Astyanax mexicanus: one gene and its partners. The protein of the gene in region 3 binds, or shares a complex with, the protein of the main gene of each other region. Links are inferred from orthologs where the notes say so. Each region holds a gene or a part of one and is shown on either strand. Other genes may lie near its edges. The genes, in order: cnot9, cnot10, cnot6l and cnot2.

Region 1 (8,361 bases), on a different chromosome or scaffold from region 3:
AAAGAACTTTTCAATTATATTAATTTTTTGAGATGCACTAGTATATTAAAGCAAGCAAAAACAAAATCACAGTTTACTCCTTGCAAGGATATAACTCTTGAGAATTGATTTGGAACCCCTGACTGTACCTGATCTTTGCCTCTGCCCTGCTCTCGAACATCCAGAGCGATTCTGTGTGCTTGTTCTTTGGTGCTCAGCAGGTTCACGTTGTATGCAATGAGGAACTTCCGGGCGCCAGTCACTGTGGCGCCCCATGATGGGACAAAGGTGGCAGGACCATAGTCTGGAACCCACTCACTCTTCTTTAACTGTAATGGAGAGATCCAAGAGAGTTTTTATTCACGGGCCACTTTATTAGAAACAAAATCTGCACCAAAGGTACATTGTTTGTTACATTGTTTGTAGATTATCGTCAGTTTATAAATAAGGGTTAATCTACAGTTACAGTAGATATAGAAATAAAGAGCATACGCATTTGTGCCTGTACTGCTGCATGATATGCGTAAAATGGAATTTGATTCCGGCACTAAAACATTTTCTTTTTTTGTTGTTGAATGCATGATCATAGCCTGCGTCTACTTCCTGGTAATTTATTCAGAAGTCAGTACCATTTAGAAAAGTGCTTTCACACTGCAAACAAACCAAATCATGGTTCAGTTGATCTGGACTGACACCACCTCTTTTGGTCAGACCAAAATTTGGTTCTTTGATCCTGTCTGCGGTTCACGGCAGCTCCAATTTTGGTTTAGACCAAACCGGAAACTCTATTATTCATAGATTGGTTTCTGAGGTGAGATACAGTCTGTAACTGTACAATAGGGTGTTTCTAATAAAGTGACCAGAGTCTGACCTTTTCTGATAAAGCCTCATACTCTCCAGCTCGTACAGATGGCAGAGACCTTCTACTTTCAGTCCTCGCAGCTTCTCCATAGAGGTACACTAAAAATGAGACAGAGAGAGCATAAATTTGTTACATGTTGTCAAAAACTTTTGACAAAAACTAACATGTGCTCCTGAAACCCACTTAAAAAATTGGTGGTAACCCAACACCTAAACAACCCTTTTTCCAACCATACTTTATTCTTTAAAATTAAACCCACTGTGTTTTAACACTGTATGTACAGCTCTGGAAAAACATAACACCGCTTAAAAATGATGAGTTTCTTTGATTTTACCAAATTAAAAACCTCTGGAATATAATCAAGAGGAAGATGGATGATCACAAGCCATCAAACCAAACTGAACTGCTTGAATTTTTGCACCAGGAGTGGCATAAAGTTATCCAAAAGCAGTGTGAAACACTGGTGGAGGAGAACATGCCAAGATGCATGAAAACTGTGATTAAAAACCAGGGTTATTCCAGCAAATATTGATTTCTGAACTCTTGTTTATTGCATTATTTGAGGTCTGAAAGCTCTGCATCTTTTTTATTATTTCAGCTATTTGTAATTTTCTGCATTTTCTTGTTCAAGGTTTATAGAATAAAACAAATGTTAATTTTACTCAAATATTTACCTATAAATAGCAAAATTAGATAAACTGATTCATGAAATGAAGTGGTCTTTTTTACAGAGCTGTATATAAATGAGCTTTCGTCTGATTGGTTCTGTATTTTGTTCTTGATTTAAAAAGCAGTGCTAGATTAAAATCTTAAACGTTTCAAAATAAATGGGAGGGTGTGGACTGCTCTATCAAATGTTCCGATTTTTGAGACATCAGAAAATAAATGAGTTAAAAAAAATAAATACTGTTTTGATAAGGTCCCTTTAAAAGGTTTATCTCACCTGGCACATGAAGCAAGTCCCCCAGCCTCCGGCCAAACTCATTAGCACACTCCACACACTCCTCCATGCTGGCGTTCTGTACCGGGATAAAAGGACACACGTCCATGGCCCCTGTCCGAGGATGCTCACCTGCACATTCAAACATGGACAGATTTCTAAAAGGTTACATATCATAACAGACATGATTCATTTTTACACAATATGTTTTTTATCTCACTTTAACCCTTGCCATTGCACAGGCTTACTTGTTTTATTATTGTTATAATAACTCCATATCTTAATGAAGATCAAATGTTCAGATTATTAAATGTTTTTAAAGACATAGGTTTTATTGGGTGTCCCAATTTGGCTCTGCTCTGATTGGTTACTATGCACTGCATTGTGCCTTGTTTTGAAACCACTCCAAAAGGGCCAAAGCTCACTTAAAATAAAAAATTTGATGCATTTAATCACAGAATGGTTTTTATTTTGCCTCAGTCTATTTTGAATTAGCTTTGGTCATAAGATGGCAGCAGTACTGGCATTCATTGCATGATACAGCTTTAACATGCATTTTTAGACTGTCTGCCTTGTCCCTTGGGTACAGGGATTTATCCAAATACTCTGAAACTTTTGGTTATATTTTGATATTATGGTGAAGATGATCTGATATCTGTCCATCTTTACTTAACCAAAAGAGACTATATAAAATGCCTTTTTTATACCCAGCCCTGTAAGTTACAGTAGTTGCAAATTGCTCCTAATGCAGATGTTTTTTATTAGTACCATTAGCACCACTTTCTGCTTTTTGATGTGCTGCCCAAACTTTTTTGAGATGTGTTTCTGAAATCAAACTCTAAATGAGTTCATGTATTTCATTAAATCGTAAGTGTCATACTTTCAGTGTCTTAAAATGTGTTCTGTGTTCTATTGTGAATAAAATATGGTTAAAATAGATTTGAAAATAATTACATTCTGTTTTTATTTACAATTGTTTTTATATTTTACACAATGTCCCAGCTTTAGTGAAAGCACTATTATTTGCATGGTGATTTCTAATAAAGATGTGAGTGTTAACTGTACCTGTGTGTTTGCTCATGTCAATGATGGTGAAGGCGGTTCGAGCAGCGTTCAGGGCTCCCTCCACCACAGCCTGTGGGGGGCCCACGAATGTGTAGACCGTCCTGTTGGTGGACGAGCCGGGGTCCACGTCCAGCAGACTGCAGCCCTCAGTGGCCGAGATGGCATCAGCTATGGCATTGATTACCTGGTAAAGAGAATTAATAAAGTTAGTATGGGTTCTCCTGGTCTGTGACAGTCAATAATGGTCAGAATCTGCTTTTACCTCCTTATTTCGTCCCTCTGAGAAGTTCGGCACACACTCGATTAGCTTAGCCATGGCTGTGAGAGGTAAGACACACAGACTGAAGCGGCTCCACCACTGGGTCCTCGACGGATCTATAGAGAGTTAAGTTAGTGCTCCTCTAGAATGATTAACCCGCCCCACTGGGCCTTATCTGGGTCAGCAGCCAATGATTGGCCTGTCACTTCAGATAACACACAAGTCTGTCATATTCACTCAGTCACAGACATTCACTATATTGCCAAAAGTATTCGCCATCCTAATCCAAATCATTAATCTCAGGTCAAGCCTTGCATCACCAAAACTCAATTGCCACCATAAAATAAACACCAACATTGGGCTTTCACATATTGGCCTCTTTATTAAAAACATCCTCCTTCTGTTTCATTTTACTAATAATACGCTTTCAGAATCTATTTCTTAGCTATCTTTGCCTCATTGTATTTTCCAGTAAATTGTCTCCTATGACCTTTCAGCACTTAGCATTAGCTAGCCTTGTAGCTTATGTGCAAAATGTAAAAAAATTCTAATTTTAGACACCAAACATGTCTTGTCTGCTTGGCTACAATGGGGTAAACAATGTTACATGCCAGTTGTACACATGAACCACTCACTGTGTACAAAACTGTTAACGGACCTTCTGGACCTACTGGTCAAACACATCAAGAGATGAAGCCAAGTTTAATATTTGGCCCAAGAGTTTCATAACATCCCAAAAGCAAACAGAAGGTGGCTAGGTTGCAGTAAATAATTGATTCATCAGAGAACCAAAACCTGGTAGGGGGTGTAGCAAACAGAAAACAGCTACAAAACATCTGATCAAATGGGTCCATTTTTGGATACATGTCTGATTAAGGCAATAATATTGAAAATGAAAGCTAGCATCTCCATACCAATTTCATCAACAATGCACTTGTAATATTATAGTAATAATAGATGGTCAGATATCAAAAGTCTACATTTTCCTAGTTTTTCACAGATTGGTGAACCGCTGTCTATCTTTACTTCTTTTACTGCCTATCTAAAATTCACTTTTTATACCCAGCTCTGTGAGTTAGTTGCAAATTGCTCCTATTTTAGCTGTTTTTATTAGTACCTCTAACTTTTTCTGGCTTTTGATGCCCTGTCCCAACTTTTTGAAGTTTCTTTGCTGCCATCACACACTAAATAAGTTAGTATTTTTCTTGAAATGGTAAATTGTCTTACTTTCAACATCTGAAATGTGTGCTTTGTTTTACTGTGAATTAAATGTGGTTCTGTTAGATTTGCACATTTTTTGCATTCTGTATTTTTTACACAACGTTGTGTAATATTCAAACTTAGACCATCCGATACCAGCTACCAGCAAAAGCTGGTGTCGAGCTGGTATTTTAAAGGAGAACTCTGATGTGAAATGGGGTGTTGGGGTGTTGTGAAACATTGTTTGTGAGTACAAAACTTTGGTCAAATAGTCCACGTCCGAAATGCAGCAACAGGCGTACGATGGAAGCAATAGCAGTATTCATGCAAATAAATCTCTATTTTTACACCATTAACAAGCTCAAAGCAGATTGGTAGAATTCTATGAGCCCTGACAGTGTTAAAATTGAGATTTCTTTACACGGACAACTCTATGCCCCTATCACTAGCATTGTAAGCCTGTTGACATAATTTGTACTTATCATGTTTCACTTGGGTTACAACCCAAGTCCATTCTCCACAGGATTACACAGGATTCTCCTTTAAGCAGAAAAAAAATAAGAGGAAAATTATGAGGAAAAATGATTATCCAAAAGCAGTGTGTAAGACTGGTGGAGGAGAACATGCTAAGATGCATGAAAACTGTAATTAAAAACCAGGGTTATTCCACCAAATATTGATTTCTGAACTCGTAAAACTTTATGAATATAAACTTGTTTTCTTTGCATTATTTGTGGTCTGAAAATTTTGCAACATTTTTGTTATTTTATCCGTTTCTCATTTTCTGCATCTAAATGACAAAATTTTTATTTGGAATTTTGGAGAAATATTGTCCGTAGTTTATAGAATAAAACAACAATGTTAATTTTACTGAAACATATTCCTATAAATAGCAAATATACAATCTAGAATATGAATTGGTTTCCACTCATCATAAATCATCATACATTAATCTCAGTTTGCCTTTACATATCAGTAGAAATGTAAGTATCCACTGATATCCTATAGTATCTGGATCGGTATCTCGGTATCTCCACAGGGCTCCCTCTGCTGGATCTGGAGCTTCCTCAGACTGGATGTCTGAGTCTGCAGGCGTGAGTGTGGACGGTGGAGCAGACTGTGAATGTCTGATGTGAATTCTGAGGGATTTCTGTGTATTTTGGGCTGAAGAAGGATCTCCACGGCTGCCGAAAGACTGAACACAGCCCTTCCGAATATGCTGGCCACAGGAGCGGTAAGTTAAATGCGCGGTTCTGCTCTGATTTTAACTTTAATATTAACCTCCATTCATCAGCTAACCTAAAACTCACTGCGCGGCCTGCTAGCCGGAGCGGCTAATTGCGCTAAAGAGCTTCACAACTTCACTCTTATGTAGCTATATATTACAGAGATTCAGCCCCGTATCTAATTTATCTGCAGCCTTGAGCCTTTGTGAGATTTAAATTAATTAATTGAAATAATAAAAACTGGACGCCTTTTAAATTGGTCATTACGGTCGAATGCTAATGCTAACGAAGTAGCGTTGCCTGTTAGCCTGAGCTAGCTCGCTAGCTAGAACGGGTGTTGGACGTATTAACACTAGTTAGCTAAGCTATGCTAGCTATCTAGTTAGATGCAAATTATAGCGAATATTAGCTAATGTTTTTATTACAGATATTCACAAATCTCCGATGTTTATATCGTAATATTTCGTCCTGTAGCTGGCATTAGCTTCCTTAAAGTTTGAATGGCACGGTTGCTATCTAATGTTAGCTTAGCTATCTTAGCTAGTACGCTGGTTAAGTTAGCTGCTAACGCTAACTAGAAAGTTGTTTAGCTAGCAAATTTACAGTTCTTAGTTTAGCTAATAAACTCAAATTGAGTAAAACTGGTAAAGTAAAAAAAGTTAAAATGAAGAAGTAAGTTAAACTCAACTGGAATTAAGCTACGAAATAAGTGCTTATATAACAGTTAGCTATCTAAAATAATCCTTGGTTGATAGCAGTAGCTGAAGTTTGGCTAACGGTCGTGTCTGTGAGTTTGGGAAGAGTTGAGGCTGACAGTTTAAAGTTATTAATTATTAGTCTTATGATTTATAATTCGGTATATAAGCAGTAAATAGATCTGATAAAGTAGTCTTATTAAAACATTAGCAATAGCTTACACAAAGAAGTACAACTGAGTACTAATGTATTACTCCATTACAGTAAACATGCTAAAGGGTTTTACTTGTTCAATTGTGCCAGTTACCTGCGTAAGTAGAGCTGGGAGGTTAAGTAAATTAATTTGATTAAACTAAATACTGTTTTAATGCAATTTTTAAATGGGGTAATTGAGACTGTAAATTTAAATGTAACTGTTTACATGTAGGAGGTGCCAGAGGATATCTCAGTAGAACGATATTTGCTTCTTTTAGAAACTAGGGTTACTGTAAAACAGTGTCTCTCAAACTGTATTACGGCCATCCTAAGGTTGTAAAGCACTACAATCTATGAAGTTTCCAATATAGTTTTCCTAACATTACATTAGTTAGTTTTGATTGCTTTCCCAGTTAGAACCTGTGTGTGAGCTACATCTCAGTCATACACTCTCAGAGCAACAGTTTTAATAATAATATCACTTTCATTAGCCCTAGAGTACAACCCTGAGGAACACCACAAGATATGCTCTATCAAATATTCCGTCTGAGATGTTTCTGTAGGGTTACTGTAGTAACCAGAACCAATTATCTTAACAACTTACATATAAAGTCACACTCTTGACATATGTCATTATCCCTAAGGGGTAGAATCAAATGAGTTGATCAACTGAGGGTGTAGGTGATTTTACTACAGGTGGTCAGGCAGCATTGAGGTGATCATTTAAGCAATGGAAGGTGATTATATGCAATTCCAAATTGTTAGTCTAGCGAATAATTGCTGTTATTATTATTATTCTAATTATTACCATTAACCATGGTAATTATTAATTAATTTATTCTCATCATTCTTACCACTGATGATTATATCAGTACACCTGAGCACAACAACAGGCAGATGTGATGGTACAGTGACTTTATATGTGTAATTTTATAATTGGTAAATTTTGCCTTCTGCTTCCCCTGTGGAGGTTTTATATTTGTGTTTGATATTTTGTCCTGCTGCTGATGTGTGTAAAGCTGCTTTGTTGCAACATTAGTTGTAAACAGTGCTGTTTCAGTTTCACTTGCTACCTGGATATTATGAGATATTGTGAGGGATTTCTACTCACTGTATAAAATTGTATGGGATTTTTGTCTACTAGGTTTGGGTAATACTATTATGATGATGCTAAATAATGGAGCAATTCCAGTACTAATAATTTAAAAAAATCTTAAGAATTGATGGTCATAAGGAAACGCCTGATTAACATTTGTGCGTTTTTTATCCAAGGCTGTAAGCACGGCGCTGGCGCAGGTGGACCGTGAGAAGATCTATCAGTGGATCAATGAGCTCTCGAGCCCTGAGACGCGGGAGAATGCACTTCTTGAGCTCAGCAAGAAACGGGAATCGGTGACTGATCTGGCTCCAATGCTCTGGCACTCCTGTGGGACCATTGCTGCACTCCTTCAGGTAAAAACTAGAAACTTCATAAGTACAGCATAACCAAAAATTACACATTCCTACTATTATCTTTTTGATAACATAATATAAAGCAGTATTGTAACAGAGTCTCCCAACACAGTGTCTGATGAATGTTTTTTCATGTGTTTTTATTTTAACAGGAGATAGTGAACATCTACCCCTCCATTAACCCTCCCACGCTTACAGCCCATCAGTCCAACAGAGTGTGCAATGCCTTAGCACTTCTGCAATGTGTGGCCTCGCATGTGGAGACACGGTAAATGCTGCAAACCCACTCTGATTTACAATTAATACAGTTTGGAGACTAAATTGTCTGCATGTTCCTTAATTTAAACTTTTCTTTTATCCCTCCAGCTCTGCGTTCCTGGCAGCGCACATCCCTCTGTTTCTGTACCCTTTCCTACACACCGTTAGTAAAACGAGACCCTTTGAATACCTTCGCCTCACCAGCCTTGGAGTCATTGGTAGGTTAATT
Region 2 (8,092 bases), on a different chromosome or scaffold from region 3:
GAAGATTCAACACTTTTAGCAAGGGAAACTCAAATCTGCATGTTTTTAAGAATACAGTGACTGTGAAACATTGCTATCAGGAATGTACAAGTGTTTTATTCTGTATACTTAGTTTTCTTTTGACTTCTTTCTTTTTCAACTGTATTCTTATACTCTTAATATGAATTACTGGACACTAATACACACAAACAGGAACAAAGTTTCCTAGAACAAATAATGTTAGTTTTTTGTTTGAGAAATTAAATCAAAATTCAGAAACATACCAAACGGTTCCAGGAACTGGTAGAGCTTTTCCCCAATAGATATGGCTTCAGAGTACTGCCGCATGTGGTAGTGAATGATGGCTTGATTGTAGTAGAGGATGCTGTTTTCTACATCATCTAAACCATCAATGTCTTCCACCGCAGTATGAACCTACAAATAAAAAGATAGAAAACCATCAGAAAACAGGCTTAAGAAAAACAAGGCCCTGTTTTTGAACATTTTTAATTGAAAATGTAAAAGTATTTCCTCACCTGATTTTTTATTGTCATTAACGTCTGCTTCAACGTGCCAGTGGTTGCTTGCCCACTTTTGTAGAACTCAGCAACAGCTTTGTTCAGGGCTATCTTATAGTCCTCCTTGTTCAGTTCCTGAAGACTTTCGAGTTGTTTTAAGGAATCATCGTAGTTGCCGGCCTAAGGGGACAAGAGCAATACAGTAAAGAGTAATGAACAAAGTACAGGTAATACTTCACAACATATGTAAGGAATCCCTGCTAAAAATATCAAACATAAAAATCCACCTCAAGACCAGCTGAGGGGAAAGAAAGAAAAAAAAAACAGCATATCCTATGCTGGTAGGCTAGCTTGTTTACTAGCTCTTAAGTGGCATGCAGTATGTTTTTTTCTGGATTACCAGGTGTTTTTGAGCTGTATTTTTAAGCAGGAATGAGTGTTAAATATAAATGTAAAAGTTCAATACCGTAAATGCTTCAAAAGCATTCGTGGCCATCTCCTTCTCTTGGTCTGAAATTCCAGGGGAAGAAGCGTTGTCATGTTTCATGTCACCAACTTGGTCTTGAAAAAGAATAAAATTTAAAAGCAGTTAATTGGAATGTTTGACTTAAACAGACACAGCAGAACTAAAACCTCTAAATGCTTAAGAGCTAATGATTAAACATGTTCTCCTTGTACAGGTTTGTTGTGTCGTTTGCTGCTTCTAGCTCTGCACTGTCGAGTTCACCATAGGCTTTTTGATACATCAATACATGTTTAAATTTAAGATTTACTGCTGCATAGAGAAAATACCATATACCTTGTATGCAGTATCTCAAGACAAGTACCACCACTAATACTAATAATAATGTTATTATTAGCAGTAGTAGCACTAGAAGTAGTTGTAGTAGTAGCTTCATCACCTTACCCAAAGTATTATTTAAATACAAAAATATTATTTTAATAAATTATAAATCATTTGCTTATTGCTCAGACATACAGCACTAACATTTTGCACAATTTCTGTACCTTAAAAACTGACCATTATATCTATAAAAAGTTTGAACTTGGTGGAATACTTATGTTTAAAGGATGGAGAGCAAGGACAGGAGTTTTTCCTTGCCACTGTGTCACCATAAAATTGGCATCTCTGTGGTGCTGCTCATAAGAGGCGTGGACCTGTTTTTCCTGTAAAGCGGCTTTGTGACAACCTTTGTTGTAAAAAGCGCTATATAAATAAAATTGAACTGAATTGAATTGAAGGACAGATATAAAAAAAAAGAAGATTTTATGAAATAAATGTTTGTCAGTGGTGTAAAGCGTGGTCTCTACACTGTAAAAAAATATGTGTATTTGTTAATTAAATAGGGTAGGCAAATTAAGCTAAAGCTTCAACCTATACCTTTTCAGTCTATATGTGATTTCTTTAAATGCAGGACTTGTGTTTATTCTATTTTTCTTTCTTTTTTATCTTTTTTTTTTCTTATGTGATTATACATTTTGCAAAACCGTAATAACCTAAACTAAGACTAAAAAGTGTAAAACAAAAATTATATGTTCATATAATACTACATATTTAGTATTTAGATAGCTGATTAAAACGATAATAATATATTTTTTAATAAATTAATAAATCAGTTTTAGACTGATTTCACTTTAATTAATGGTGAAATCAGCGCCACCTACAGGCGAAACCTCTGCTCTGCAGGAGAATTTAAGGTGGACGGGAAAACCCGCATAGGAATGCAAGACTTAGCCTCGATTAAATTCGATTAAATCTCTACACATTTACATATTTAGCTTATATTCATTTCACAAGTAAATGATTTAATAATTTAGTTCATTTTAATGCAGATACTTAAAATAAAGCGCTTTTAACGATTTTGTGAAGGGCAAAATGAGTGAGAGTCAGGTTAGGGGGTTAGCTAACTAGCGATACTGACGATACTCTCAAATACTTAGCTAAGCTAACTAGTTCGGTCACAAATCGTTATATTATAGCGGAATAAACATATGAAACTTTACATTCTACTTCTCGTCCACTGCTAAAGGACTGAAACTGTTAATTTAGCTACTGTGCAAGGTTGCTATGGTACCTAGCTATTTAGGTTAGCTAGCTAGTTAGCATGTTGGCTTAGCTTAGCCTAGCCTTGCTAGCTGCCCTCTCTGTGTGCTGCAGTGTTTATACTGTTCACAGCTGATTGTGCTGCTGCTGACTTTAACTGAATACAGAAGAGAAACTGGTGGTTAAATTTCACAACAGCGCTGATCTACTAGTCTGACAGGGACAGGTAAATATTCAGCGAGCAGTCTAGCTAAGTTAGCTAACTGCGGTAGACAGATAAGTTACCCTTTCCCTGGGTGCTGATAAATAAACCCAGCTTACCTGAGCCGCTCTCAGCCATGTCCTGCCAGTGATTCTCTGGTATGAATTAACGCGTGTTAATTCCAGTGATCAGACTCTCACACACAGATCCTCTCCGTTTATCTAACTTATATATAGATCCAGCACAGGGTTCATCAGTGCGTAGCCGCTGCTACTGCTCTGCTTTCGCTTCATCCAGGATTTTTGTAATGAGAATTAGAGCACAAGCTGCTGCAGTCCGCCATCCGCCGGTGTGGAGGAGGAGAAACACTGAGTGATCATTTGGAGAGAATGATAGGATGGAAGAAGACTCTAAGAGTGAACTCTAGATGTCGACAGATCCGAGTTTACCCCCAAACACAAACAGCCTGACGGTCCTTCTCTTCCTGGTAGGAGTTTTGCTGTCCATACACTACACGACTTTGAAAAGACTCTCAAAGCATTACATTACATTTGGCAGACAATAGTGAAGTACAAAAGTAATAGAAGTTAAAGGTAAAAACAACTTTAGACAGGGCCTAAAGGAGATTAAAGGGAAATAATGGGATATAGGAGTAGAGGAGGAGAAGAAGGAAATGAGGTTAGAAGTAGTTAGTCAAGTAGTTAGTCAAAAGACTTTTAACAGACTAAATTCTGACACCCTCTCACATCTAAAGACTAGTCAGACCTTTTAGTCACAGGATAAGATTTTGCAAAGACTGGATATCATTATTTGCAAGACTGCATCTAGATTATCTTTAAGTTTATTTCCTATCATACTTCTAGTGGAATTTACATACAATACATATTACATATTACATTAAAAATAATGTGTATATCATTACTGTGATTTATCAGACTCACAACTTTTGTCCCCATCAACAGTTTATTTTTCTACCACACTGATAGTTCTTGATATTTTTTAATAGAATACAAAATGTAGAAAAATATGCTTTGTAAATGTTTCCTCACTATCTCTGCCCAGACTTAATTCTCTATTTTTGGCAAACTTGATTTTTTTGCCTACATCATCTCCTCATGATGCTCTTTGACCACCTGTTTTAAAAATTGCCTGCACGCTCATTTGTTCAAATCATTTGACTTTACGACTTTAGGATAATGGCCTATATCAAGAGTGTGACTTTTAAGCTAAGCTAATTTATTATACCCAAGTCAAAATAAAACGTAACTGTAATAGCTTTCATTCACTAAACTAAGTTCCACGATTGGTAGATAGTAGTTAGCTAACCTTAGGTTAAATGTTACCTGTTAAGCTAGCAAGTCAGAGCCTTAGCTAGAACATTTAACTTAAATGGCCACAATTTTACCCTAAATGTAAATCATAATTCAATTTATACATTCATAAACCCTAATAAACATTATAGCTAACAAGTCTAGCACTGTCACTCTGCAAAACAATGCTAACCTAGTACACTGGATATAACTAGCTAACTAGCTTATAGTTTTTGTCTGAATGTGAATATTTTATTATATAGTTATGTAATTTAAAGAAGAGATGTGGAGCCTGCAATAAATGTACTTAGTTAACCATTAGGCAGTTTTTTTTAAAGAAAACTTTAAATACACCTTATTTTCCATTTTGTCAGCTATTCTTATCAAATAGGAGCATTTATATAATTCTATAATTACAGACTGTAGTAAACCTGTTTCTAGACAGGTGAAGAACAGTTAGATACAAAAATATTACATAAACCAAGCATAAGTGTACTGATTTGTGTAGGCATTCTGTTTTCTCAAATGGCTTAAGAAATAGTTCATATCCTGTATATAGGAAAATACATCTATTGAGGCGAGCATGGTCCTATACATTTAGGTTAAACTCTGGATTTTTTTAACATCTGGCTCATATCTTGGTTCTGTCTCCACCAAGATAGGCAGATGACCCAACAGAGTGGTTTAATTCAAGCCCTGAGCTGTTTGTAATTTTAAAGTAGTTTTTAAAATAGGTAACTATGTAACTTTTACTCAAAGTACATTTTAAATTGAGTACTGTTTACTTTTACTCAAGTAGATTTTTAGATGGGTACTTTTACTTTTACTTGAGTAGAATTTTAGCAAAGTAACAGTACTTTTACTTAATTACAATTTTTCAGTACTTTTTCCACCTCTGGCAAGACCACATATCTTCGTAAAATAATGCCCACCTTTAGATTTGGGAGTTTAATACCCACTCTGGCCAGATGCCAGCGCTGTACTGAGAAGAGTTTAGAGAGTTTGTGTGCAGCATGTTTAGACCATCTAAAGGGGAAAAAAACAATGTTGTTTTTGTGTTTCATACTTCTTAATTAGCTGGCGGTCGTATTTTGTTAAATCTGGATTTATGCTCGTATATATCAAAACAGGGATAAAACAAATTTGATTTAGGATACTATGTCAAAATTAGGTCAAGTACTATGTCAGGATACTATTTCAAGTTTCATATTTCTGTCACAAACATAGAACAACATAGGTTACTCTACAAAAGCATTACAAGGATAATTTTGTCAGTGTAATTGAAGACATGTCTATACAGTCTGAATAATATATATTTTCCAATGAATGAATTTAGATTTAGTAATATTTAATAATTTAAACCATTGTAAAGTTTTAACAGCAATGGATATTAATTGATAGTAATGTAAAGTTTAGGTGCCTACAAATCAGCCAGTAAGTATGTAAACATAAAATACAATGAACACCACCTTTAACACAGGTACTGATGGCACAAAGGGCAGCCATCTACAAGCATCAGGTATGTGTCACTCCACAGGAGCCCTGTGTTAAAAGAAAAGTGTGTGTCTCTCAGTGTAAAAAAACACTGCTGCCACGTCCTCCTGCGAGAGACACTCTCTACCGCAGTGTTTATTTTCCTCTTTGACTTCAATTAGTCTAATTGAGCCTAGTACCTAGAGAGCTTGAAAATGTCTCACTAATTGACACCAGGAGGGAGCGAAAAAGAGAGAGAGAAGTTTGAGAGGAAGAGGGATGATTGATTGCCTGGGAGCGTGTCTGGTTATTCTGAGGCTTCGTAACTATGACAGATCCATCTCTCCAGGCCTGCAGAAAATTGGAGCATTCCGACAATATGACTCATTATCCTCCGTCATTTTTAGAAAAGTTAGCCTGGCCGTGGCAGAATTCAGACAGACCAAAAGGTTCTAAACTACCAAAAGACCAAACAGATGATTACTTGGCTTGTTTATTCGCTTTGATAATATGATGCATGAAAGGCCTCTGCTGGTGCAATAAACATTTCCAGTGTGATTAAGAGCAGCAAGCACATTTATTTCTTTCAGGATTTTATAAGGTAGCAACATGTGAGGTGGGGATTTAAGCAGAACACTAATAAACACTAATAAAACCTTTTGAAGATGGTTCTTTATTATACATTTAAAAAGTAGTTCTATATCCTCCTCAGACATGGCAAGTCCATTTATGCAATCTGTTTGAATTCTATAGTACAAATAACCTGAATATTCAGGTCAATCATTAAAATATTTAAACTACATGTTTTAATGATTGTCTCTGTAGTGAAAAAATAGGGCTTACTACATTATTTCTTTTACTCAGTGTCCATACTTAGGAAGCATGAATTGTTAACATGATACACATTAGAATTAATACAATGCCAATACATTCTCAGACAGTACCTGTTCCATGCTACAAGGGTGATATAATAGAGAATAAACATCATTTGTAATGTTCTTATTTTCTAACACTGTTTTGGTCTTATGATTTAAGTTTTTATTTATTATTATTATTTTTTTTGTATTCTTAAGTCCAGTGTTTTTTCTGATTTCCTCTTTCATGGAGTCACAAGGCTGCTCAAGTTGAACGTGGCTCACACCTGAAAAGTTCAGCTAGTGTCAATTAATTTATGTTTAAACACTTGCATATGTTGGAACAGTGCGCTGTTCTTGTCCTCAATGATCCTTATATACCTTTTAGGCCAAGGAAGATTACATTTTAATAGACCTGACATTTTAAGTTTTATGTTTGATCTAAACACATATAAATTCAATAGCACTGTGTTGTGTAATGCCAGACTAGCTCTTAACTGTTTAAATGTAGGCATGAGGGTTGTGGTGGGGGGCTGTGTCTTTACTGTTTGTAATATACAATCAAGACAATTAGGCTTTGTTACTTGTGTAGACGAGGAAGTCGTTATGGAGTCATTGAAAGGCTTTTATTGGGCTCAGAGGGCACTGAGAAAGAGCAGAAACAAATTAAGTTATAGAGCTGATCCCTGGCCTTTAGCAGAGAGTGTTCTGTTAAATACACAGCTGCTTGGAGACGAACACCATCACTCAACTGCCACAGCTTCTGTCTGTGTAAATCACTGATTGCCTAAAGTGTAGGAGCAGTTGAGTGATTTGATAAACCAGGAGGAGGAGAATGTGGATCAGCGTTACAGAGTAATTTGGTGATACAGGCTCCTTTATCTTCGTTATACTCTGGTTAGACAATAAGAATTGTGGCATTTAAGATGTGCGGAATCTGCATCTCATAGATTTGTGTCTTTTCATTAGACATAATCAGTAAGAGCAACCTGATCTAATAAAATAGTTGAGGCAGTTTTAATAAGTGAATTTTCGTAAAGCTTGATGTTATATCTAAATACTTTATGTGTAAAAGTATATTGTTCATCCTCCAGTCTAAAGTCCATTTCTTGTGGAACTGCTGCTGCGTGGTGGGAAATGTCATGAAATCATGCATTACAGCCTACAGTTAAATGCATTTAGGTAGTGCATTTCCATTTGTAGCCTAGAGCTGTATATCCTTTCCCAAATCATTTGTCACATGTCCCATGCCACATTGGAAATTTAACTAGTATTGTGTTCCATGACTTTTGTATGGACTTTGCATTAAATATGGATGTGATTTCTGCCAGAGTAGTCTGTCTGTTTACATGGACATTTCTAGCTAGAGACCGCCCATAATGAGCATTACCATCAACTGTGCTGTCCACCTTGGGTGGTAATGGCTGTGGATGACACTGTGGATCGAGTATCAAACCTTGCTCAAACACAAATAATTGTATTTAAGTCTAGCGTGCAGTATATAACAGCAAATGCAGTATATAAATAATAAATCATATTTTAGAAGTTTCATTATGTAGTAAAACACACTAGACTACATCAGGACTTTTTCTGCTTATCACATTATTTTAACTTCTCCATGGTAAAGTCCCGGCTGCACGCTTCATACAGTATGTATGAATACTATATGATTAAAATAGGCCAGTGTTCAATACATAAATTAATTAGATGAA
Region 3 (7,218 bases):
TACAGCCACGTCTGCATCGTACACTGGCTTTGGATAATGCCTCACCACGTACACATCATCTATTGGAGCCCAGGCTGTCAGTCCGTAGGGCTTGTGTCGACTGGTGTCATCGATCTTCTCCCTCTGCTTCTTCTTTCTCTCCTCCAGCTGCTGCTTCTTCTTCTCCTCCTCTTCCTCCTTCTTTATGTCTTTTTCAAACTTTTTAGGTTTTTTAGCTGCCCTGCAGGATGTACATAAATGTTACACTCATTTAATATTGACAATATTTTATCATGTCTTGATCATTTTCTTATTGTATCGACAATACATCTTTTTATTAGGCATACCAAGGATATAATCAGTCCTCAAAGAACACAGACATAACTGTACATTTCATTACAGGGAGTGTAAAAAATCCTGTTTATTAAATGATGTGCAGCATTTCCTTTAATTTCTCACTGGAGTTCTCCTTTAAAGTTTTGATTTTATACCTGAATTTAATAAATCAATGATTAAGGGTTGTGTCCCAAAACTTTTACCATATAATGTACCGGTATGCCAACATTCTTATCGTCACCAACAATACAAAAAATAAGCTTCTGCACAAGAGTTTTAAATGTTATTGTGTGTTAAAGATCTGTTCCCATCCAAAAAATACAAATAAAATACAAATAGTAATATGAAGCTTACTTGGCTGCTGCGGCATAGTTCCTGACGAGGACGGGATGAGGCCTAGCTGCATTCTGGGAGACATTTGAAGCAGATGAAGCACATGAAGCGCTGGAGAGAAGAAGCTGTCTCTGGCACCCAGCTACTACTGTGGGACAGACCATAAGAAACAACACAGTGATTTATTGTTTTATGTAACCTATTATATGTAATGTCTGTACATATTCCTATACACACCATCCACTTCATTAGAAACACACTGTAGCCAATTTTTGTTCTTAACCCAGGTCAGTTTTACTGGTCAACCTTGCAAATCCAACAACAGTCCTGTAGTCAGAAACTGTCTACTGATGATGTGGTAGGTGATGATTAATACACCATGAACACCAACAATTAAGCTACAATCTTTAGCTGTACAAACCTTTAGCTGGTAAAGAAAACCATAGCTCACATTTGGGATGCTTAGAATTGTATGAAATAGGAAAAGAGAAAAAAAACTGTATGCCATGATGAAAAAAAATAGTTTTTGTTTGTTTTTTGTTACTGTACAACCACAAACAAAAAGCTTTTATTACTACAAGTAACTAAAACTAGAAAAACCTAAAGTTAGCAGAGTGTTAATAACACACTTACATAACTGTAGTAGGGGTGGGTGATATGGCTCTTAAATAATATCTAATATGCGATAACGATATACTTGGCGATATAGGAAAACAGAAAAACAATTGAATAATTTCAGGAATACAGTATAATAGTATAACAGTATAATCATAATAATAATAAAATAATATAGCATAAAATAATATAATGCAGCAAAAAGTATTGCAGAAAAATAAATAGAACATGAACAAACCCCCAGGTGGGTGATGATGAAGAATTGGTGCCAAATTAAAAAGCAGTTACTGCAAATGGAAGTAAAACCACTTTTACATCCCTCTATCCAACTGTTTTTTGAAATTGTATGGTGATAAATAGCAAAATGCTATGATGATTCAATTATACATTTTGATAAACATTTGCACAACCATTTAACATTAAATGTTGAAACAACGTTGTTTCAACATTGAATCAACAACAACAGACATTACTTTAACCATATATCAACCACATTTGGTCAGTTGTATGTGAGCTGGGCAGATCTTTTTAATTTACAAATTGCTTTACAGTGGGAAATATTAATAATTAAATGGATAAATCCACTAAATGCTAATTCTTCTGAAATCCTGAGTTCTAAAAAAAAACAATGAAACCAAAATCAGGTTTTCTAGAAACTTTCTAGAAACCCAATGACGCTTTACAACTTACACATTTTACACACTGTACACACAATCATTCATACTCAGAACTTATCTAACACAACAGTTTCCACACCGACTGGTGCTGACTGATCCGTTCTACTATAACCAGTTTCATAGCCGATTAGTTTTAGATCTGGTTTTCTTCTAGTCTGCTTATTTTACTTCTTTTTCAGCCACAGTGTTTATAAAGCTCTGAAAACTCTCTATACCTCTATTAAATAAAGCAGCTCTGCTAACCTAGGTTAACTAACAGCGCCGTGGCTACTAATGTGATTAAACCGCTAGACAGAAGCTTCTAATAAAACCAGGCTCCTATAACCAGCACAGACTGGCACTGTGTGTTTAAATGTCATTCAAACTCTGTTAGAAACTCTTTAATAATAAATAAATAAATAAAATCCCCAAAACTGACCTCTCAAAATGCTCCTGCAGGACGCTGCCATGTTCACAACCGCACCTCATGTTCCTCCGTGTAGAAACACACACTCCTACAAAGTTCCGCCACCCACTATTTTTAATAAAAAAAATACATAAATTTTTTATTATGAAGACCATATTAAAGCTATACAGAAACACACGCTGAATTATTCTGTACATAAACAAATATTAAACAAAGCAGAATCTGTTAGAATTATACTTTAGATTCTTCCAAATAGCACATTTATCTTTGAGGACAGATCTGCACACTGTTGGTATTTTTTTATCTCAGTGTCTTCATGAGGGAGATTCACCTGGAATAGTTTTCTCAGTGTATTGAAGGAGTTTCTAGAGGTGCTGAACACTAGTTGCTGCTTTTCCTTCACACTGTGAAGCTCCAGCTCATGCCAAATCACCATCTCAGTTCATCAGTTTTAAATCAGGAAAAAACCTTTCTTTAATATCAATCAACGATGTTGAAAATACATTAAATAAAGAAATAAAACAAACATTAAATAAGATCAAATGAGGTCAAACTTTTGAATGGTACTGTATCACCAGATAATTCATTTTAATTGCTGGTGGTTGTATACAAATACAAATGTGAACATATATTGTATATTTATGTATTATCTCTTCATCCTTGGGTTGTTTTAAATAAATGCAACAAATGACATACTAATAAATGTTTGGTTATTTAATTTCCATACACATTAAGCTGTGCCTATTCTTATGTATCTTAGTTTCGCATATATAAAGCAAATCTGCAGATTTTTCTATTATGATTTAAGTGACAGGTGCCTGAATTATACATTTTTTTGATAGCTTTTGTAAAACAATGTGACTTCATGTAGCTTAGTTGCTTTGTAAGTATCCAAATTTCTATTCACTACTATCTTAAAAAAAACAGACCTAAAATGCTGACAATTTAAAATATTTTCCAAAGTTCTTTAGTTTTCTGTTTTTTTTTTGTGATGTAAAATATAGTAACAAAATTTTACACAATTCTTTATAATAACAATTTCTCTGTACACTATATTTTTTCACAAACTTTAAAAATGCATCAGTGAAATTTCTGTTCGTCTTTAAATAAACAGTTTTTCCATGTAAACTATTGTAATTTTACAAAATATATCTTATATTTTTATCTTATATTAAGTCTATGCATTTTTTTTATTAGTTATGTCATTAAAGGCAAATTAATAAAAAAACAATGTTCTTTGTTACAGGAGAAGCCGGTATGGGTAATCCACCTGTTTTTTCCATGGTTTCCATGTTTGCATTATATATTTACAGTATGTCAGTGATATGCCTAATCATGGTCAGTGATAGGAATGGGAGGGGTAAATCTATCTAAAGTTTATCTGTGTTTTTTTTATATATCGTGATATAGTTTATTTTAGTTTTCCTGCTGCTAGGCTTCGCTGATATATTGATACCGTGTTTAATCGCTCCACCCTTATCTTAGCTAGTCTATCTATCTATCTATCTATCTATCTATCTATGTATCTATCTATCTATCTATCTATCTATCTATCTATCTATCTATCTATCTATCTATCTATCTATCTATCTATCTATCAGCAAATGGATAGATGGAAAAAACTATTTAAAACATCTATCGTTGATACAGTTTATTTTAGGTCTGATATTTACTATATTATACTATTTATCGATACAGCGGTGAATCGCTCCACCCTTATTTTAGCATGAGAACTTGAGTGGAAGAGCGGAAGCCATGCCCGCCGTCCTTCCTTCCCCCTGTCGCTCAGATCACCCGGGGACGGAGCGGCACGGACTTTCTGCCCGCATGTCTCCAACAACACCGCCCAGACAACTCCTTTACCCGCTTCCGAATGCAGGTAAACCGGCTGTGGGGGTCTTTAAACACCCGTTCTCCTGTATTCGCTGTGTGTTTTTGTGCTCAGTCACTGTACTGTGCTGTTTTCCCTGTCAGTGAAGGAGAAGCTGCTAGTTAACCGAGCTAAGCTAACGCCAACTGTCTTCTTAATCAGCCGAGGCGGCCCGATCTACAGCTCATACGGATCAGTTACAGTCTGGTGTTCTGTTTTAGCTAAGCTAAGCTAAGCTAGCGGTTTACTCTGATAACGAGTGCAGTTTCTGAGCTGGGCTTGAGTTACATGTTACTGAGATATGCTTTGGTGACAGCTGGACAGACAGTTAGCCACTGTATTTATTTATTTTACCAGAACAAAATAAATAAATTAGACGCTGGATAAACTCAGGTAGCTATTAGCTAACTTTGTAGCTACTTTATAAGTGAACTTTGGATGGATTGTAGATCAGCAGTAATGAAGAGCAGGGCTGTTTGTTTTGGACACGTTTATAAGCTAAACAGCCGCCCAGTTTGTGTATAATACTAGTAGTTGACGCTAGGTTAGCTAGTTAACTAGCTCCTGTCGGTGTGTTTCAGAAGTTTAGCTTTGTCTCTGTAGTGTAGGTTAATGTTGTAAAGTGAGGCTCCGTGTGGTTGACCTGTTGTTGCTCTGGAAGTTCTCAGAAGAGCTTATTATTTTACGTAACGAAGAGTTAGAGAGTTAGCCAGCTAACTTACAGTAGCTAAACGCACACAGACACCCTGATCTGATTAAGTGTAGAAAAAGCCCATATTCCTCCTCTCAGATCAGAGACGGTTGTATTCTTGTAGTGCTTGTATTGTAGGTGGTTGTAGTAAACACTGCTGGTCAAAGTGCGGCTCTGATCCACTCCTCTGGAATTTGGCAGTCTTTTGCTGTTGTTAATGCAACAGCTGCGACCTGACTCCTCTACTGCTGATATATTTATATACAGGGCAACTGAGGTCACTCTGTGTAGCAAGCATGCTCTTAGCTGTTAGTTTATATGAAGTATAGTTAGTGTGTATATATACACTAATGCATCTTAAAAAAATAGAATATCATTGAAAAAGTTACTTTCTTTCAGTAATTCAGTTCAAAATGTGAAACTCATATATTATTATATAGATGTATTACACACAGTGTGATCTATTTTGATAAGCATTTATTTCTTTTGTTGATTATTATGGCTTTCAGCCAATGAAAACCTAAAAGTCAGTGTCTCAGAAAAGTAAAATATTATATTAATATTATCAGACAAATTGGTACTTTTGGCAGTGTGGGCAGTGTGCCAAGTCGTGCTGGAAAAGGAAATCTACATCTCCATAAAAGCTGTCAGCAGAGGGATGCATGAACTGCTGTAAAATTTTCCGGCAAACACTGCAGTGACTTTGCACTTGATATAACACAGTGGACCAACACCAGCAGATTTACCAGACATGGATCTTCGAACCATCACTGACCATCAATACATTTTGCATTTAATTTGAAGATCAAGTGACCAGAGTCTGGAGGAAGAGTCTAAGCTGATCATCTGCTGGTGTTGGGCCACTGTGTTATGTCAAGTCCACAAACTTTTTATGGAGATGCAGATTTCATTTTCCAGCTTAATAGTTTTTCGATTTTAGTTAATCGATTTTTAGTGTCTGGATTTTGCCCACGTCTGATTATTGGCAGGGTTTCCTTAAAATTTATGTTGTCTATTTTATTATTATTCCATGTTGCACCATGGTTCCAGAGGAACGTAATTTCATTACACTGTGAACATGTGCTCAGATGTAATGACAATAAAAGCCACTTGACTTGACTTGACTTCGTCTCTGCATTGAGGAAATCATAGACCCCTATTTAAACCATGCTGTGGGTTATTCTGACTAGACTAGGGGTGGGCGATATGGCTCTAAAATAATATCACGATATTTCAGGGTATTTTTGCGATAACAATATACTTGGTGATATAGGAAAACAGAAAATTAATTAATTAATTTCAGCAATATAGTATAAGAGTATAACAGCATAATCATAATGTGGCTAAATAAGTAATATAGCATAAAATAATATAATGCAGCAAAAAATATTGCAGAATATTCAGTGCATGCATATAAACTGCAAACTCAAACCATTATACAATAAATACACTTAAAGCTTCTCAGTAAATAATAGACTACTTTTAAGACAGAACATCTCTATTATCACAATATAGATTTTTAATATCACGATATTTCTGTGTCACGATATATTGTATATGATATAATATTGCCCACCCCTAGTATAGACAATATTGTCTTTATAGAGACTTTGCGTAACGCAGTAGTAGCCTGCATTTTGCCTGGGCCTTTACAGTATGTCTTTCAATTCCTTACAACTAGCAAAATTAGACTTGCTCCAGTGTAGAACTACAGAAAACTTATATTGTAATTGTATTGAATTTGTATGTCAGAATTAGCTTCTAATTCTTAGCTTTACATCCTGCAGATTAACAGGCATGCCAAAGGAAAAATATGATCCTCCGGATCCGCGCAGACTCTACACCATCATGTCAGCGGAGGAGGCGGCCAATGGGAAGAAGTCACACTGGGCCGAGTTAGAGATAACTGGTAAGTGTCTTCATTTACGATTCTTAATACTGAACGGATGTTGTGTGTCTTCGTTATCAAGAATCCAACATTCTCTGATTAGGCACTCTTTTTTTAAGTAAAAAAAAGTGTTAAGACTAAACTAATAGGCCTTGTTTCCACTGCTGGGCTAAAATGCTTTCCAAGGCCACACCGTTCCATGCTCTGCCAGTACAGACCTGTTAGGTGGGTTATGGTTTCATAACCCATGGTTTCCATTTGCTGTGTTTCATGCTTTCATGTCCTAATTTTAGAGTTAGCACTAAAAAATAAGCTTGTATAGTTTATCTTAATATTTGTTTTAATTTGACCATTTAAATCTATATTACTAAGGCCAGTAAACATGGATTTGTTTTTTGCACAAACATTGCATCAAAATCTGGT
Region 4 (8,159 bases), on a different chromosome or scaffold from region 3:
TTTTAGAGCAGTTTGTTGACCAACCATTGCAGAAACTGGACTTAAGCTGTGTGTGGAAATAAATCATGTATTTTTTCCTGCACACTCAACTCATTATAAAATGTTATTCGAATTGTCTCTCAGATACCACAGCGAAGTGCAATACTTGAACACGTACTGTTTCCATGCTTGATCCCATTTATACCGTTGGCCACGGCCACAGCCACCACCACCACACACTACTGTGGCTACTTAGGTTGTGGTGGCTTAGCAGTTAGAGAGCTAACGATAACAAGGTTGTGGTTTCAGCAAGCTAACACTGTTGGGCCTTTGAGAAAGGCCCTTAGTCCTCACTGCTCTCCAGTTGCCACAGGAATGGCAGCCCACTGGTCCAGGCACATATGCTCACTGAGTGTGTCAAGTTTTTTTTAATACACAGCAATACTTAAATCATTAACAGCCTCCTTAATAAATGCATTAAGTTATCATAGGTGCCAATACATGCCAGCCTGGACTTTGAGTTATGCCGTTAGGAACAGACATTGTACCTGTTGATGGTGAAAGGTTGCTGTCGTGCTGGTTGCTGCTTTGGCATGCAGATGATGCTGGGAGAGCTGCGGTTGGGGCTGCCAAGGCCCGAACTGCCCATACTGTTGGTCCTGCCACTCATGCTCATGCCCTGACCCACCTGCGAGTGATTCATAATGTTCCTGGTATTCATGGGAAGAATTCCCCTGCAAATCAAAAGAGAATGTAAATCAGGTATATGGGGCATCCCCACACTGTTCACAGAGAACAAACAAGAAACATAACAGGAAACGTTGGATAAAACTTTGAAAGCAGGCAAAGTCATAGGCCTACCTGTTCGGCGAAGGTGGGGTATGGAGGGACATCGTTGGGACGCCCGTTGTTGGGGTGTTATGGCTCGGTAACTGAGTACCTTGTGTTAAACTCCGGTTTAACTGAGGGTTGTTGTTGTTCATGCCCCTTATTGAGAAGCCTAGTGCACCTACAAGAATCACACCAGAAAAATCATATATAAAACATTTTTATATTTAATGAGTGGTCTTAAAAACTGCAACACAATACAAGCAAATTTAGAGAAATGTACTCACTTTGTGGACCATACAAACTTGCACCAAGCTGCGACAATTGACCTGACGACGATGGTGAGGGAGATGCCAGCATCTGCAAGATTTACAAACTCTTTCATTTTCCTACATTTGTGCTGCACAAATTGTATTTTTTTTTGTAACTTGTCAACTGAAGGCATGTAACTTTTGCTCTTACATCTTTCTCTGTTCGATGAGGAAACATCGAAGGCTGACCATAGTACATGCTCTCATCTGGGTAGTCGCTTTCGACCCCCTCAAACTTCTTTCTTGTAGCACTGAACATTCCGTTCGTCACCTGAGAAAAAACAATAGTTTTAGAAGGTTAAAAGGAAAGCCAGAATAACTGGATTTGATCAGAGATGTTCTAGAGACCACTTTAAGTAGAAAACAAGAAACTTGCTTTTTACATTTACTAAACCTTTACTGGACTAAGTTGTAAAACTCATACTAACATAAGATGTATTTTATGATTTAACTCAGTTATTTAAAAAAATACAGGATCTTTAAACAAAAATATATTTTTTTTGTTTAAAGATTAGTCTGGGAGTAAACTTGTAAAGCTCTGTGAAACCCAGAGCTTCTTAATACTTCCTGCTCAGGACCAAGTTTAACTCAGATCAGTAAAACAGGCCCCAAAGCTACACAATATTGTCAATAAAAGCATTCAGAGCTTTTCTGCCAGTGTTAAGATTATTATGGCTGTTGTGAAAGAGATCTGAGCGCATGAGTTCCATGTGACCACACAAGAAAAAAGTAAAAAGGTCCAAATAAATCACACAAAACAAGCTTCAGAGCGAACAGGCACTAAAGAATAAACAAAGTCAAAAGCAATGAGAATAATTACACTGCTCATCACTTCCATTGTTTACATTAACACTTGCTACTCTTGTTAATAGCTACCTTGACAGTTTGGCACTGACAGATAACTTATGTATAGCTAGCTAATATTAAGCTGCAAACGTGTGTGATACATTATAAAGTGGTTAACTAGCTAGACGATCCGCGTGTTAACGATATAACCTAAAAAGGATCAAGCTAAAAGCACAGAGACCTGCTGCTTTAAACACAGTAACGAGCTAACCGCTAGCTAAGCTACCCAGTATACATCCAGAACACATCTAACTCTGGACTACGGCTTATAATCGTGTTAGCCAGCTAAGCTAGCTAACGCTAACTAGCTGGGCAAACTCTTTCGGTACAGACAGAAGCTCGTATTTTTTTCTTTTACGGTGTTGTATCGTTAGATATTGCTTTCAAGTTTGCAAAAATGAATTAGCTAACTACATTAGTTTGTTAAAAAACAAAAAACAAATCCACAATATTTTACTCCGGATTCTTAAATAACGCTAGCTAAGTTAGTTATCTAGCCGGGCTAACGAATTAACGTTAGTTATATAGGGTTAGCTAACCTTGCTAGTTAAAATAGCGGTATGAACAGACTGCTCGTTAGCTTAGTTGGCTTAGCTAACTAACGTCAGAAAATTAAATGGGAAGCTATTGATGGATATGAATCCAACCAACACGATAGCTTCTTAAGCTAGCTAGTTAGCTAACTAGCTAACCTGCCTAGTTGGTTAAAATAGCGTTACGAACAAGCTAACTAGCGTCAGAGAATTACATTGGGAGCTATTGATGGTTATGGATTCAACCAACCCGATAGCTTATTAGCTAGTTAGCTAACTAGCTAAACCTAGCTAGCTTACAAATCCAACAGCAGGTAGATAGCTAAGCTAGTTAGCTACCGAGCTAAAGTTGCTCAGTCTACATAATAAAAAAAAAACATCTGAACAGCGGCTGACGATACTGACAAAACACGGCTTCGTCCACAACACAGCAGGCTAAACCAGACTCCAGATTAGACCGTGGATCGCGTTTCAAGTCGCGGCACAACAGTTTCTTTTAATTATTTACCGGATGGAGCACTAGCCTTTAGCTCGTAACACAGCTACAGATAAAGCTAGAGCTAGCTTAACAAAGTCTATCCGGCTGTGTTCGGTGGAGGCGGTGTAGTTTAGCTAGGCCACTGCGCCTCCTGCTCCGCTCCAACCCGCATCTCTATCTAAGCCCTTTAGCTTCAGGTATCAGGCTGGTGCTAACGCAGCTAGCTCGGACAAAAACACAGAGACGTACGAGTCCGTGTAAAGCCATCTCTCCGCGAGTTCGAGCTCAACCTACATGCGAGGTTGAAAACCCTCCGACGCTACAGCTCTGTTTTCGTGTTGTGTTCGAGGCGGGCCGCGCGGAGTGGTGTTTTTTGTTAATAAATGAAGAAATCCACTAACCGCATTAATTTCCCCTCTCCTCGTAGACCCAAGATGGCTGTGTATCCTGCAGCCGAGAATCCTGGGTGAACAGCCTTTACCCCCTGACCCTGCTCTGGCCTCTACAGCAGCCCTCACTGCTTTACATTAATATTATTATTATTATTATTATTATTATGGGCCTTAAATTATCACTTATTTTACTATATTCAGGTTCTTCAGTAATTATAATCACGACATTACTGTTCACATTTTAGCTTCTGTATAAACGTTATAATGCACTAAATGAGCTATTCCATATCTCTAGTTAACCTGACTTCCTGGGCCAGCATCAGTATTCCCCCCACAAGATACCCTGTTTGACTGATTTATACTAGTCTTTCATAGCAAGAATATTGGACATAGTGGCCTAAACTAACAAAACATAAGTTACAGTTGTTACTATATAACATTTTCAGTATTAGTTCCTCTAACTAAATTATTTTTAGCTGAGGCCTGTTCATGTTGTTTCTTTGTTTTAAATCATTTTACACATAGATATATATTGTATTTATGTTTTATTTATTTTTGTCCATACTTATTTAATAAAAATTAAATGAAAGTAGCCAAAGACAATTATATGTAAATGTATGTAAACTTGTTATAGCTTTTAGGCCATTTATCTCTGCGATAAGAGTTTGCTTGTAAAAGGTACAATTAAACATAAATAGAAGTTATAAAAGAAGAGTTATTTATGTTTATTTGTACCTTTTACAAATAAAATAGTAACAAATCATTTGTCCTTTTGAAGGAAATAAAGTAAATAGAAGCCATATCTTGTCATTTTTAAGAAAGTGCAAAAAAACAAAAGAAATGTTTAATAAGCACATTTATGATATTATGTTATGTTATGTAATTATGTTATGTTATTTATGTATTTATTTATGTTTATTTATATTTGTATATTATATTTATATATATTTATATTTATATATTTATATGTGTATTTATATGTGTATTTACTGAACAAATAAAACCTTTTTAAGATTCATCTGTACATGTGCCTTAAATGTTATGTATGTAAACTGATTGACAAAAATGAACACCCTGGATTGCTGGAAAACTTGGCATTTAATTATGTCTCAGACAGATTTGTAAATCATGTTTATGCCTAGAACTGGGAAGCTGGAATTTCCTAGTTTTCCTAGTTTCCGGAAATCTTAACTTGAACGCTCCTACAGGTCAGATTTCCTACTCAAAAAAGTTGGGGGAGCCTCGCCAACCTTGAGTTTAGAATCCAACGTTCACAATAGCCGAATATCCCGGGTAAATGGAACTCAGTGTTAGTCTTGCCACAAGAGGGTATAACTGTGACAGTCAGTCACACCTAGTAGTAAGACAATGCTCACTCACACACAGCAAGTTTTTCCCAGAAATGTCTTCGCCAGTTGCAACACTTGGCCTGTTTGATCAACAGATTTTCAACAATTATGTGTTTCTTGCACTTACTTCATCAGTGGATGAGTGGGCAGAATCTACAGGCCCAGATGCAACATCTGTGATCAAATATGCATAAGCATGCCCTCTGCTCCAATTTAATATAAATATCACATCAAACCGACCATAAGTGATTATAGTAGTCATACCACACTTCAGCTTAAGGGTATTTGCATACATTTACACAGTCACCATCATTTAAGATAACCATATCATGTTTGGCGCATAGCCATAACAAGTATGATACAGTCATTTTAAGTATAATGTTTTATATCCACTGCATGCAATCACTATCTGTAGTCTGTAATTCACAGACTATTATACTTATGCTTATACTTATATTACAGACTATAACTTATGCGGAGAATCTTCTCTGTTAAGTCTCTAAGACAGTGGTTTTGCAAACTTTAAATTGGCCACCTTTGTAATTTTGTTCATGAAACCTTCTACAAATAGTATCTGACAAATACACAACCAACTCCTCAAGGTTGTTTTTGACCTGTCAGATAGACAATTAAAGATTTTTCTGAAGATTAGTAAAGATTTTATCAGTGGAGTTCTTCCTTGGCCTACTAGTCCCTTTAAGAATAAAAACTGAGCAGTGCACTGTTTCTTCTTAATGATAGTCCATACATTTGATTTTATAATCCCAAAAATATGTCCCAAACAATATAGACGTCACTGTATGTGGAAAAAAAGTTTATTATATTTATTTCAATATTTATATTAACATTTATTATGTGACATTGATAATGGTAGAATTTGGCAGTTGACTTTCATCGATAATGTATGAGTTTTTTTTTTTTCTTCTCCAAACTCTAGACTTTTTTAATTCAGGTTTCCATTATGTAAGTTCTGTAAATATGAACTCAGTCATAGCCATTTATCAACAACAATGGTGTAAAGACTAGTACACACTTTCTTCATTGTACAATTCTGCTGGCAGAGCATCAACATCATAAGCTCTTGACAGAAGCTCTCCGCTCTGCCAAATAACCACACAGACGCCCAACTGGCTGGCAGCTACAGAGTGATGACAGCAAGTTGAATACTGATGTCTTTCTTTCAGTAGAGTGACATCTCTGGTTTTACTGCAGGTGACATCAGACCATCTCTGTATTGTCTATAGTATACTATATACTCAGGGTTTTAATTTCACTGAATAGGCTGTATGTACAATGTATTACAGTTTCGACTGTTAATAGTGCAGTGTGTAATATTTGTATGTATGACAGTGAGTACATTAATGCATATCACTGTATGTTTTGTGCCTCTTCTGCTGCAATGATGTGTGGGTTCACACACTCAAGACTTTCATTTTCATTTTCAATTTTATGTGATAATCTTAAGTAAACACTGACATGTTTAAATTCTGCCTAGTTCCTACATGTGTGTCTAATCCACTGACAATACAAGTCTACTATTACAGAGCCAGGAAAGGGTATTTCCTGATTCCTTGTTTTGTTTTGCGTGTTATGCATGCTTAATTATTGGAAACTTTAAACTAAATTCAATTTAAGACTAAGGCATAAAATATTTTTAAATGGGAACAGCTAAAAATGTTTACAGGTTAATCAATCAGACAATTCATGCATTTAAGCCACCTCTGTTGAATTTAAACATAATTTACAGTAATAAATATAAATCACAGTAATTTGAATTACGTATATGGAGATAAAATGTCTCAACAAACAACACATGATACAGGGATCAACAGAAATACTGGAAGTTTTTTTATTATTATTATATTGTTCGAAAAGGTTTTACTAAGAAAACTTGAAAAACAGTTGTGAATCATCTCAAAAGTGGCTGAACACACACAAGATCACCAAGAGCATATAAGGAACTGTATCTCTAATTATGCAAAACATTGGGGTGGTAGTTTGATCTGTATCCTTGGTGAATTGCCATAATTAACAGAACAAAACAATTCTGTTAGTCTACCAGAAAATCCTGCAATAGTGGCCTAGTTAAAGTCTTGATTTAAACCATATTGCTGTGACAGGAAATACATGCATGTACTCAAAGTACTTCAACATGGCTGTATTATTGTAGAAGAGTAATAGTGACCTTTTTGTCTCGAACAACTGAAATTATTATTTAAAATCTGCTTTTTCTCATGTTCTTTTTGGCCTACTGAGTTTATTAGCAATATCTGGATGGATATCTGCCGCCGTTCTCCTTCAGTTGTCACCGACGTGTGTTTCAGAACTTTCGAATCGGACAGTTCTTCGCGCCTGACACTCTGGCAGAAACTCCACCCTCTTTGACTAGGTCTGCCTACACACTAAGAAAAGTAAGTACAGATTTGTACCTAAAAGAGTACAAAGCTTGTCGCTGGGGCTGTACCTTATATTGAGGTACAAAAAAGTACTTTTCAGTGAAAGTCCTTTTTTGTACCCCATATTTTTGTGCCAGTAAAGATAATACAGATTATAAACGTTATCATCAACTGAATATGTGTCAAAAACTTGATGATCCAAAATTGTCTGGCTTTCACATGAAAAATGTGCAATTAAAATATATATTGTTTATTAGTACAGTGATAAAGAATACAGAATGTACCATTTGGCTGGTTAAATGGTACAAATCTGTCCTTATTGCTGTTAGGAAAGACTTTGTACTTCAAAGGGAACCAATCTGACCCTGTAAAGACCAATATTGTACCATTGAGGGTACAATTATAAAGAATGTACCTTTGAGTACAAAAAAGTACTCATATCGTACATCTGTTTTTTAGAGTGTAACAACAGAGCGATCTATATTCTGATTGGCTCAACGAGAGTACATTATAATATACAGCCGATGGATTGGCAAGCGTGAGAAATACCATGTATACATGGTATTTCTCACGCTTGCCAATCCATCCATGTATACATGGTATTTCTCACGCTTGCCAATCCATCGGCTGTGCAACAGTATGGCTGTGCAACAGTATGAAGTTGAAATTGGCACATTTTTAATCTCCAAATTCCCTATTGAAGACAGACCAGGACTGCAGGCACAGCCATGCCTTCATAATGTGTGCAGCATGTGGTTTTGCATTGTCTTTTTGAAAAATGAATGGATGTTGGCATCTTGAAAGCAAGTACATTATCTCAGTATAAGATCTCAGTGTACCTTTCTGTATTAATGCTGCCATCATCTAAAAGTGTATTGACATAACCCCACGCCATGACAGACCCTGGCTTTTGGGCTTTAAAAATAACTGACTGGAAATACCTTTAGCACATGCCATTAATTTCTTTCAAACATCCCCATTCATTTCTTCCAAACCAAGATCTGAAATACTGATTAATCTGATGACAATACATGTTTTCACTGTGTG

The links.
Region 1: cnot6l (region 3) and cnot9 share a complex: the UniProt entries of both Homo sapiens proteins name them as parts of the CCR4-NOT complex. The link is inferred for Astyanax mexicanus from reciprocal best matches to the Homo sapiens genes CNOT6L and CNOT9.
Region 2: cnot6l (region 3) and cnot10 share a complex: the UniProt entries of both Homo sapiens proteins name them as parts of the CCR4-NOT complex. The link is inferred for Astyanax mexicanus from reciprocal best matches to the Homo sapiens genes CNOT6L and CNOT10.
Region 4: cnot6l (region 3) and cnot2 share a complex: the UniProt entries of both Homo sapiens proteins name them as parts of the CCR4-NOT complex. The link is inferred for Astyanax mexicanus from reciprocal best matches to the Homo sapiens genes CNOT6L and CNOT2.

What each region holds. Positions count from the first base shown.
Region 1 is NC_064430.1:21,132,149-21,140,509, forward strand, and holds the start of cnot9 (CCR4-NOT transcription complex subunit 9), read left to right. Parts: upstream 1-5,355; 5' UTR 5,356-5,521; coding exon 5,522-5,539; intron 5,540-7,694; coding exon 7,695-7,874; intron 7,875-8,026; coding exon 8,027-8,142; intron 8,143-8,240; coding exon 8,241-8,350; intron 8,351-8,361. Other genes in the region: ftcd (formimidoyltransferase-cyclodeaminase), read right to left, coding at 129-308, 851-939, 1,785-1,913, 2,847-3,030, 3,109-3,162. UniProt on the Homo sapiens protein: Component of the CCR4-NOT complex which is one of the major cellular mRNA deadenylases and is linked to various cellular processes including bulk mRNA degradation, miRNA-mediated repression, translational repression during translational initiation and general transcription regulation.
Region 2 is NC_064413.1:37,975,270-37,983,361, forward strand, and holds the start of cnot10 (CCR4-NOT transcription complex subunit 10), read right to left. Parts: upstream 3,073-8,092; 5' UTR 2,882-3,072; coding exon 2,863-2,881; intron 1,059-2,862; coding exon 964-1,058; intron 678-963; coding exon 516-677; intron 415-515; coding exon 264-414; intron 1-263. UniProt on the Homo sapiens protein: Component of the CCR4-NOT complex which is one of the major cellular mRNA deadenylases and is linked to various cellular processes including bulk mRNA degradation, miRNA-mediated repression, translational repression during translational initiation and general transcription regulation.
Region 3 is NC_064429.1:17,420,019-17,427,236, forward strand, and holds the start of cnot6l (CCR4-NOT transcription complex subunit 6-like), read left to right. Parts: upstream 1-4,110; 5' UTR 4,111-4,225; intron 4,226-6,679; exon of another isoform or gene 6,680-6,694; 5' UTR 6,695-6,704; coding exon 6,705-6,816; intron 6,817-7,218. Other genes in the region: mrpl1 (39S ribosomal protein L1, mitochondrial), read right to left, coding at 1-220, 670-796, 2,359-2,389. UniProt on the Homo sapiens protein: Has 3'-5' poly(A) exoribonuclease activity for synthetic poly(A) RNA substrate.
Region 4 is NC_064409.1:54,388,398-54,396,556, forward strand, and holds the start of cnot2 (CCR4-NOT transcription complex subunit 2), read right to left. Parts: upstream 3,258-8,159; 5' UTR 3,243-3,257; coding exon 3,225-3,242; intron 1,390-3,224; coding exon 1,270-1,389; intron 1,168-1,269; coding exon 1,095-1,167; intron 989-1,094; coding exon 841-988; intron 714-840; coding exon 528-713; intron 1-527. UniProt on the Homo sapiens protein: Component of the CCR4-NOT complex which is one of the major cellular mRNA deadenylases and is linked to various cellular processes including bulk mRNA degradation, miRNA-mediated repression, translational repression during translational initiation and general transcription regulation.